Linked DNA regions of Callithrix jacchus. The protein of the gene in region 1 binds, or shares a complex with, the protein of each later gene. Links are inferred from orthologs where the notes say so. Each region holds a gene or a part of one and is shown on either strand. Other genes may lie near its edges.

The links.
Region 2: RIPK3 (region 1) and AIM2 share a complex: the UniProt entries of both Homo sapiens proteins name them as parts of the AIM2 PANoptosome complex. The link is inferred for Callithrix jacchus from reciprocal best matches to the Homo sapiens genes RIPK3 and AIM2.

The regions. Positions count from the first base shown.
Region 1 is NC_133509.1:58,638,646-58,643,072, forward strand, and holds the start of RIPK3 (receptor-interacting serine/threonine-protein kinase 3), read right to left. Parts: upstream 2,995-4,427; 5' UTR 2,801-2,994; intron 2,597-2,800; 5' UTR 2,398-2,596; coding exon 2,026-2,397; intron 1,604-2,025; coding exon 1,458-1,603; intron 1,332-1,457; coding exon 1,285-1,331; intron 1,082-1,284; coding exon 914-1,081; intron 807-913; coding exon 739-806; intron 502-738; coding exon 124-501; 3' UTR 1-123. UniProt on the Homo sapiens protein: Serine/threonine-protein kinase that activates necroptosis and apoptosis, two parallel forms of cell death. Necroptosis, a programmed cell death process in response to death-inducing TNF-alpha family members, is triggered by RIPK3 following activation by ZBP1.
Region 2 is NC_133519.1:19,052,392-19,056,204, reverse strand, and holds part of AIM2 (interferon-inducible protein AIM2), read left to right. Parts: intron 1-2,967; exon of another isoform or gene 2,968-3,074; coding exon of another isoform or gene 3,075-3,324; intron 3,325-3,503; coding exon 3,504-3,637; intron 3,638-3,813. UniProt on the Homo sapiens protein: Sensor component of the AIM2 inflammasome, which mediates inflammasome activation in response to the presence of double-stranded DNA (dsDNA) in the cytosol, leading to subsequent pyroptosis.

The DNA.
Region 1 (4,427 bases):
CCCCCTGCAAACAGCACAGAGCATTCAGTTCTGTCCCAGAGTCTGGTGTTCCCTCTGCACTCCTCTCAGCTCCAAGTTTTCCCTGGCAAGGGGAAAGGATTTATAGGAGTTCTAGTGCATCCCCTAATCCTGCCAATGTCTCACCTGATTCCTTTGGGGTCTAGGACCTGGTGTTCCAGTTGAGGTGGGGCTGGGTGTCTGGTTTCTGAAAGTTGAGGTCTCTGGAGTCTGGGGAGGTTGAGCCATTGAATCTGAAGATGTCCCTGCTGTCCTGGCTTGTGGAACCTGCTCCTCTTGTGCCCTGCTCTTCTTGGTAAGACTTGGGTATTTTTCAGGAACACAGCTGGAAGAATCCTCTAGATTCAGTTTATTTAGCAGGTCAGAATCCATGAAATCATCATAACAGTGCTGCCTTCCTGTGTTTCTCCCAAAGCCATCCATTTCTGTCTTTCCTTGGCCTGACCTATTGCTGCTCCTGAGCTCAGACAGGAAATTCTTTACCTGCAGGGATGGAGGAGTTTGCTGGGTATAACTTGGATGAGCCAGAGCAAACCCAAGGGAGTAGTCTCTTGGTCCATAATCTGTTGGCTGGGAACTCGGGGGTGGGCTGGGGAGGGTGGGGACAAAGTTCAAGGCATAAAAAGCGGTGATCGGTGGTAAGCCATCATTGGATGGCTAGGTAGTCATGTTGTGCTATCCCTGACCAGCTCCTGGAGAGGGATGATGTTGGGAGCTCACTGTGGAGACAGCAGCATTCATATTGTTCTTCACCAGCTCGAAGCCTTCATCGGTTTTTGGTAGGCATTCTAGAGGGACAGTAGATTGGGTTGCAGGTGAGCAAATCTTTTCCTGAGAAGAGCCCCCTGCTGACAGACCCAAGCTTATCACAGATCCAGCTAACTGGGCAGCTCACCCTGGAAGGAGGGTCTGTCCTTGGGCTCATTGCTACAGCAGAGCTGCATTAAATCCTTCAGTCCTTCCAAGCCAGGAGTCTCAGGCCCAGCTTGGGACAGTTCATTTAGTGAGGGCTGGGCCTCCCTCTTGCACACTGCTCCATACACCAGTGATGCTTCGGTCGGCACTGGGGTAGGGAAGGTGGGTGAGAAGAGAAGGCATTTGGGGTAAAAGGGAATATCTGTCCATCATGGAAAGAGGCAGGGAGTGTAATGTGGGGGCACCATGAGGGAGGAGGGCAGTCTAAGTAGATGAGCAGGAAGGGGAAGACTTGGGGCTTTCAGAAGGGCACCTGGGGTTAAGGATCCCAGAATCTGCCTAGAGTCTTACACTCAGCTTCTCTTCCAGCAAGCACTGCCCACATTAGGATCCCGAAGCTGCAGGAGACACAAAGCTGAGGACAGGTCCAATCACTGGCAAGACTCCTTTCCTATACGTCATCCCCTAGGAGGGCCAAGAGAGGTGTAGGAATCCCCGCTGTGTGTTTGGGGTGGGATCCTTACCTGTAGACATCACTGGCTGGGGAGGCCTTCTGGTTTACATTAACAAACAGTTCTGGGGCCAAGTAGCCCAGGGTGCCCCCTGGCTCCCTAGACCCTGTCCCTGACGGTGAGCTTCCCTGAAATGTGGACAGGCCAAAATCTGCCAGCTGCAAATGAAGGGAAGAAGGGGGAAGCGGGGAAGACAAAGCAGGCAGCCTCCAGAATACTCCCTACCCCCAGATGGTGCAGATTCAGCTTTGTAAAAAGAGTGTGAAGGTCAAGGGAAGGGGTTCCCTTGGGTGGTAGATCTAGGTGCCCTGTGGTAGGGCTGGGTCCAAGTCTGAGTCTCCAGGGCCTGGTGGGACAGCTGGTGGAAATGACTCGTGTGGGTCAGGGCCTCTATCACCTGGTAGGGCAGGAGCTAAAACTCCCGGCTGGGCTTTGTCCCCTGACAACTCTGAGTCCAGAGGGAGAGGCTGTGCCTATTCAACAGACAGGGCTCTGCAGGTCTAGTGTCTGGTGGCCCTGGCTGGAGCAGCTCTGGGGTGGGGCCTTGTCCTGAGGCTGAGAGGGGTGTAGACCGGCTAACCTTGACGTGCAGCTCCGGGTCCAGCAGGATGTTGGATGGCTTGAGGTCCTGGTGCAGGAGCGCCGGGTTCTGCTCATGCAGGTAACACATCCCGAGCACCACTTCTTTCAGCAGGCGGCAGAGGAGTGGCCAGGGCCGAGGGCACTGGGGCTTCAGCAGCCCCGACAGGGAGCCGTTCTCCATGAATTCAGTCACCAGTGCCGGCCTGAAATCGTCGTCCCACCCCACCTCCTCGATGACCCCTTTTAGGCACAGCACGAATTCGTTATTCAGACTTGCCATGGCCTTGACCTCCCTGGATATCGCCTTCCTACACTCCAGTAGAGAGCTGGAGTCGCACCGGGGTCCTGGGAGAATCCCTCCCTTCCCCATTCAGGTCGCAGAGCACAGCGGCTCCACCTTTTTGCCCAGACCTTGGCCGGACACTCACGAGTTCACGATCTTGACAGCCACATCGCAGCCCCACTTCCTATGATGCGCCCGGAACACGTTGCCGAACCCGCCTGAGCCGACGAGCTTGTGGTTCTCCAATTACTTGTCTAACACCAAGGAGGCGGAAGCACCGTTCAACCTGAGAGAGGGGTGTCGCCCACTAGCCGGCAGTGCAGTGTCCGCGCTGCTCCCCCCGCCCCCGTGACTCGGCGCCCACTGCAATCCTCGGCCTCCCTCGCCCGCCCCCACCGTCCCTAGACGCAAAGGCGTTCTCTGAGCGAGTCGCGGGTAGCTCTGGGGGTGAGTGTCGGAGACTCAGATCCACACGCCACTCCCTACTCACCATAACTTGACGTGAGACATCAGGCTGGAAGGTACGAGGGGGCCGCTGGAAATAGCGAGCTGCAGGAGATGGAGTGACTTCCGGGGCTGCGGTCTTTGGTAGAGAGGGGAACGGGTCTGCATGCACAGGCGTCAGTCTCTAGACCAAGATGATGATTCCACTTTCCGGGTTGCTACCGCTATTCCGAGTTGACTGAACAACTTCCCTTTCAGGCGACTCTACAGTCCCGCCCCTGGGGTGGGACGGGGGCAGAACGAAAGCTAGTGCTTTCCTCTCTGACTAGTGTTTCTTGGGCGCCTGCTGCGTGCCGCGGCCAGGTTGGTTGTAGCTGGGCATTGAGGATGTTAGGGAAGGAGTCCTCACCTTCCGGGAACCCACAATCGACCCTCTCCTACAGCCAACGCCTTCCCTTTTCCCACGGGATTTCCTGCTCCACCACCTGCCAGGCCGTGAGTGGGGATGGTGCTTAAGAGGGTTTTATGGTTCTGGGGCTCAGCTCTCTCACAGCTGCCCTAAGATTATAGCCAACACGTATATAAAAGTTACTACACACCAGGTACATATATTAGCTTATTTAATTCTCACATGAACCCTAAGAGGATAGGTACTGCTTTTATTACTATTTTTATGGACGAGGAAACTGAGACACTGAGAGTTTAAGTATCATGCCTAAGCCCATGTGGAAATAATGGCTCTGAACCATCAAGTTTTCCTATTTTCACATAGACTTCAGGGCTGTACCACTCAGCTGGTCATGCAGGTGGTTGGGGAAGGTGTGAAGCATCCAACGATGTAATGAAGGACCCCTATCTGTATTCCTGCCCAGTCCCTATCGCTGCTCTGATAGGGACTTATATGCCCTATGAACAGGAGCCCCTGGAGCTGACAAGCCCTAAAACAACTCCCAGGGCATTGTGGTAAGGCTAGATATATCAGCCCAGCCAGAAGGTTGCTGACATTGCGGTGTACATTGCAGTGGAAACACCTCAGAGCTTTCCTGCCCTCTCTCTTGCATGACAGCTCTTGCATGCAAATACCCTAATTAATGTTCCTGACAAGCACGTGCTCGGACACAGGTCTTTGATAACCCGGGAGCATGCAGCGTCTTAAAGATTTAGGGCAGAAAAAAGGTGTCCATATTTTACCTTTCTAAGGTCTGACCATGACTGGGGGTTGTGGGAACAAGCTAGGGTCAGCCCTAGGCACTCAGTTCTTCACAGGGAGACTCAATCCTGTGGGTTGTGTGTTGGCTCTCACTAAAAGGTGCTCACCTTGGTACTTGCTTTCCATTTTGTCCAGTGGTCCATGGGCTGGTTGAAGCAGAAGTGACTAGCAGTTTTTTCTAGAACAGCTCCTGGAGAGCCATGTCATGGCTTCTGGTAGGGTCAGCTCATGCTATTTTGGAGCCATTTAGGGAATTGTTCAACCATAGTCTCTTTAAAAGCCAATAAATGACAGGTACCCAATAAATATTTATTGAATTGAATGAATAAATGAACAATCAAAAATACTGAGCCTTCCTTAAGACACTGATCATCCTAGATGAAACTCCATACTCATTAGGAGGAAAGAGGAGATTGGGTTCCTGTAGGGATTGAGGGCTCTCACCTGAACAGTTCATGAACTC
Region 2 (3,813 bases), on another chromosome or scaffold:
CCAGCTACTCGGGAGGCTGAGGCAGGAGAATTGCCTGAACCCAGGAGGTGGAGGTTGTGGTGAGCCGAGATCGCACCATTGCACTCCAGCCTGGGTAACAAGAGCGAAACTCAGTCTCAAAAAAAAAAAAGTACAACTATAACAGCAAAAATTACAACAGCTTTTAACAGCATTTGTGAGTGTATAACACGGATGACATCACTTCTCAAACATGACTTATAGGAAGGCTAAATGAAGCCATGAAAGTGATACTATGTACGCTCATAATTCTATACAGATATAAACTGTTTGCTAGTATCTAAGGCACTGAAGAGAAAGGACTGCTTGTTATACATTGTATTTTCCCAGGCTATGTGAAGTTAGAAGGTGTAGTTCTTAGACATGGCCCCTAGATGGCAGTAACTACACGTTGTTTTGAAGTAACCAACTGCTCTTTTTCTTGTCTGGGATGAGACAGGAATCTAAGCATATTTATTGGCAAACATAGGCGGAGAATTTTAGAAATATCTTTTATTTTGTCATTAAATCAAGAATTAATTCTTCTCTTTGACACAAAGGATAGCACAAAGTTTCACCTTCTAAAATCTTCTCCCCATTTTGCTGTTCTAATGATCCTGGGATTTTGTTATTCTGATTCGATAGAAAAGATAGTTTGGGACTAGAATCCAGGGACTCTCCCAAATGAGAGTCTCCACATGTAACAGTTGCAGGATTCAACGTGTGCTTTTTGGATGGGTGCAAGTGGCTCACACCTGTAATCCCAGCAGTTTGGGAGGCCGAGGTGGGCAGATCACTTGAGGTCAGGAGTTGAAGACCAACCTGGCCAACATGGTGAAACCTCATCTCTAATAAAAATACAAAACTTAGCCAGGAGTGGTGGCAGGCGCCTGTAATCCCAGCTACTCGGGAGGCTGAGGCAGGAGAATCACTTGAACCTGGGAGGCAGAGGTTGCAGTGAGCTGAGATCACGCCTCTGCACTCTCACCTGGGCAACAACAGTGAGACCCTGTCTCAAACAACCACAAGACACAAAGTATGCTTCTTGTATGCTTTACAAGAAGGCAATTAAGTTCCATCAAAGCTAAAATTCCAACCACAGACATTCTTAGGCCTCCTTTGAATGTAGGAAATTTTTGTGTGTCTAGGCTACTTCTATTATTATAGGAAAACAATTTTTGTTTTGTTTTTTGAACAGTTAATCTTTTATTTTTGGTTAAGTGATCCCTCTCCATAGCCATTGCATGTCTGCATGTAGAGTGCTATATGCTGTTCTACTCACAACCTCACCTCACAGAAGATAGACGATACCTGGAGAATCTTTAATGAAGACAGAGGCAATAATCAGTAGACAAGAGAAGCTTTTGTAGGAAGCAAAATGAGATAATGTAAGGACATGGAAGCCTAGAGAAAAGAAGCTAAGAGAAAACGTGATCAAAGTCTACAAAAGTCCTGTAAGATTAAAATAAAATGCTCAAAAGGATAAATGAAATAATAAACAACAATGTGCACCCTGATTATTAAGGCAAATGAGAGATTCATAGTGGGCAGACAAGCTTATTCATAAATATTGCTTTGGTACCACTGTGTGAGATGAAATATGGCTGATGTGATGTGGCAGAATGATAGGTGGATTCCCTTGACCTCCCGTGACTGTTTTCTCTAGTATGCTGTCATCATAGAAGGCAGACTTTATCTGCATACCTTTCTGAAACCAGTTTCATGGAACTAACCTACCATTGGAAGATTAGTTTAACTTCTTTCTAGAGCAGAGATCCTGCTACAAAATCCCAGTCAGTCAACCACTTTGTGCCTCTTTGAAAGGTAATGACAGAGTACCTACTACCTCTTAAGACAGTTCATTCTACTCTTAGTTCTAATAATCAGTTTCTCTTTTTACTACAATCCAAGTGATGGCCTTGTTATTTCAGCCCAGAATTGCTCAAATTCTATCAGAAATGACAGCTGAGAATTTTTCAGTCCCTCTTCTGCCTGAGAGTGCCTTAAGTCACCAAACATGGCCATCTTATTACATGGTCTTTCTAAAAATCACGACTAGGAATTGGCTTTTCAAAATAACATATAACCTGACCATAGACCTGGAGGAGCCCAGCCAGATTATACAACTGCATTTTGTAGGCATTAGTGAGGAGCCAACATGCCACCCATCCATCCATTTCTTCATCCATTCAGTAAACATCTATTGAATTGCTAATAGATGCAAGGAATCCTTTTAGGTCCTTATGAGAAAACAAGGAGTTAAAAACAAATCCAGATTTTGTACAGCTTATACTCTAAAGGGAAGGTAGACATTTTCTTACAAGGCAAATGAATCCATGTGGTGAACGGAGAACAAAAGCTCTGATGGAAAGGAAGGAAGTTCTTTAGCAGCTGTGTCGAAGGAGCATTAACATGAGCCAGGAGTTAGAGCTGGTGTTGGCCAAATGCAGGTTCCACAGGGAAGTGACCCTTGAGCTAAGCTCTGAAAAATCCATAGCAGTTAAAGGTACCTTCAGTCAGAGGGAACACTGTGTGAAAATCCCCATGAGCAAGTGTTGACCTGCCTGAGGACTGAGAGAAGGCCAGTATGGCTGGAGTACAGAGAATCAATCTTCAGAGGGCAGGATGCGGTCCCCTTGACAGACAGTGCAAAGCCTTGTAGAACATAATCAGAAATCTGCCTTTGTTTCATAGCAGCAGTTGATTCATTTTCGCTACGATGTGAGATTTCATTTAACTTATAATCACATATACACATAAACTCATATACATATGTAGAGAGAGAATTGGTCTGTTTTTGATTGTTATTTTAGTCATTTGAGGCCATTGTGAATAATGCTGCTATGAATATTTATGCACATTATAAGCGTTAGGTACTTATCTTTGTATGTGTGTGTGTGTGTGTTTCTTTTGACTGTACACCTCTGCGTGGAATTACTGGATGTTAAGGTAAGTAGATATTGAATTTTAACAAATAGTGTCCCAAACCATTTTCCAATGTGTTATACAATTTAAGCCTACTACTTCCTAGTTTCTTTTATTTTTGTTTTTGTTTTTGAGACAGACAGGGTCTCACCATGTCATCCAAGCTGGAGTGCAGTGGTGTGATCACGGCTCACTGCAGCCTTGAACTCCTGGGCTCAAGTTATCCTCCTGCCTCAGCCTCCCAAGTAGCTGCGACTGAAGACATGTGCCATTGCACCTGGCTAATTTTGAAAACATTTTCTGTAAATATGGGGTCTCCCTATGTTGACCAAGCTGGTCTCAAACTCCTGGCGGCCTCAAGCTATCCTCCAGCCTTGGCCTCCCAAAGTGCTGAGATTACAGGTGTCTATGTCATGTTGTTTCTTTATTTTTAAAATAAGATTTATTATTTTTTTTAGAAAAGTTAGCTGTTCTTGAAGATATCTTAATATGGTTTTAATATTTATTTCTGGTGACATTTGAAAATGTGCACGCTCATATGTTTATATGCTTATTGGCCACGTCTTTCGTTTTTTAATCAGTTGATCAGAAATACAAACCCGTAACAAAACCAAAGCCACTAAGTCAAGCTGAAATGAGTCCTGCTGCGTCTGCAGCCATCAGAAAAGATGTCACAAAGCAACGTGCTGCACCAAAAGTCTCTCCTCATATTAAGGTAGGAGGAGGCGAGTGGAGTGGCCTTTGTCCTTGTAAGAGCGTCCTCTAGTCACTGTCACTGTCACTTCTCACACGGTTCTCTGTTCTTTATCTCACAGCATGCAAATAAGGGAAGCAAGGCCACAGTATGAAAAGTGATCTGAGTCACAAAAAGAGGAACTACCTCTGATTTAT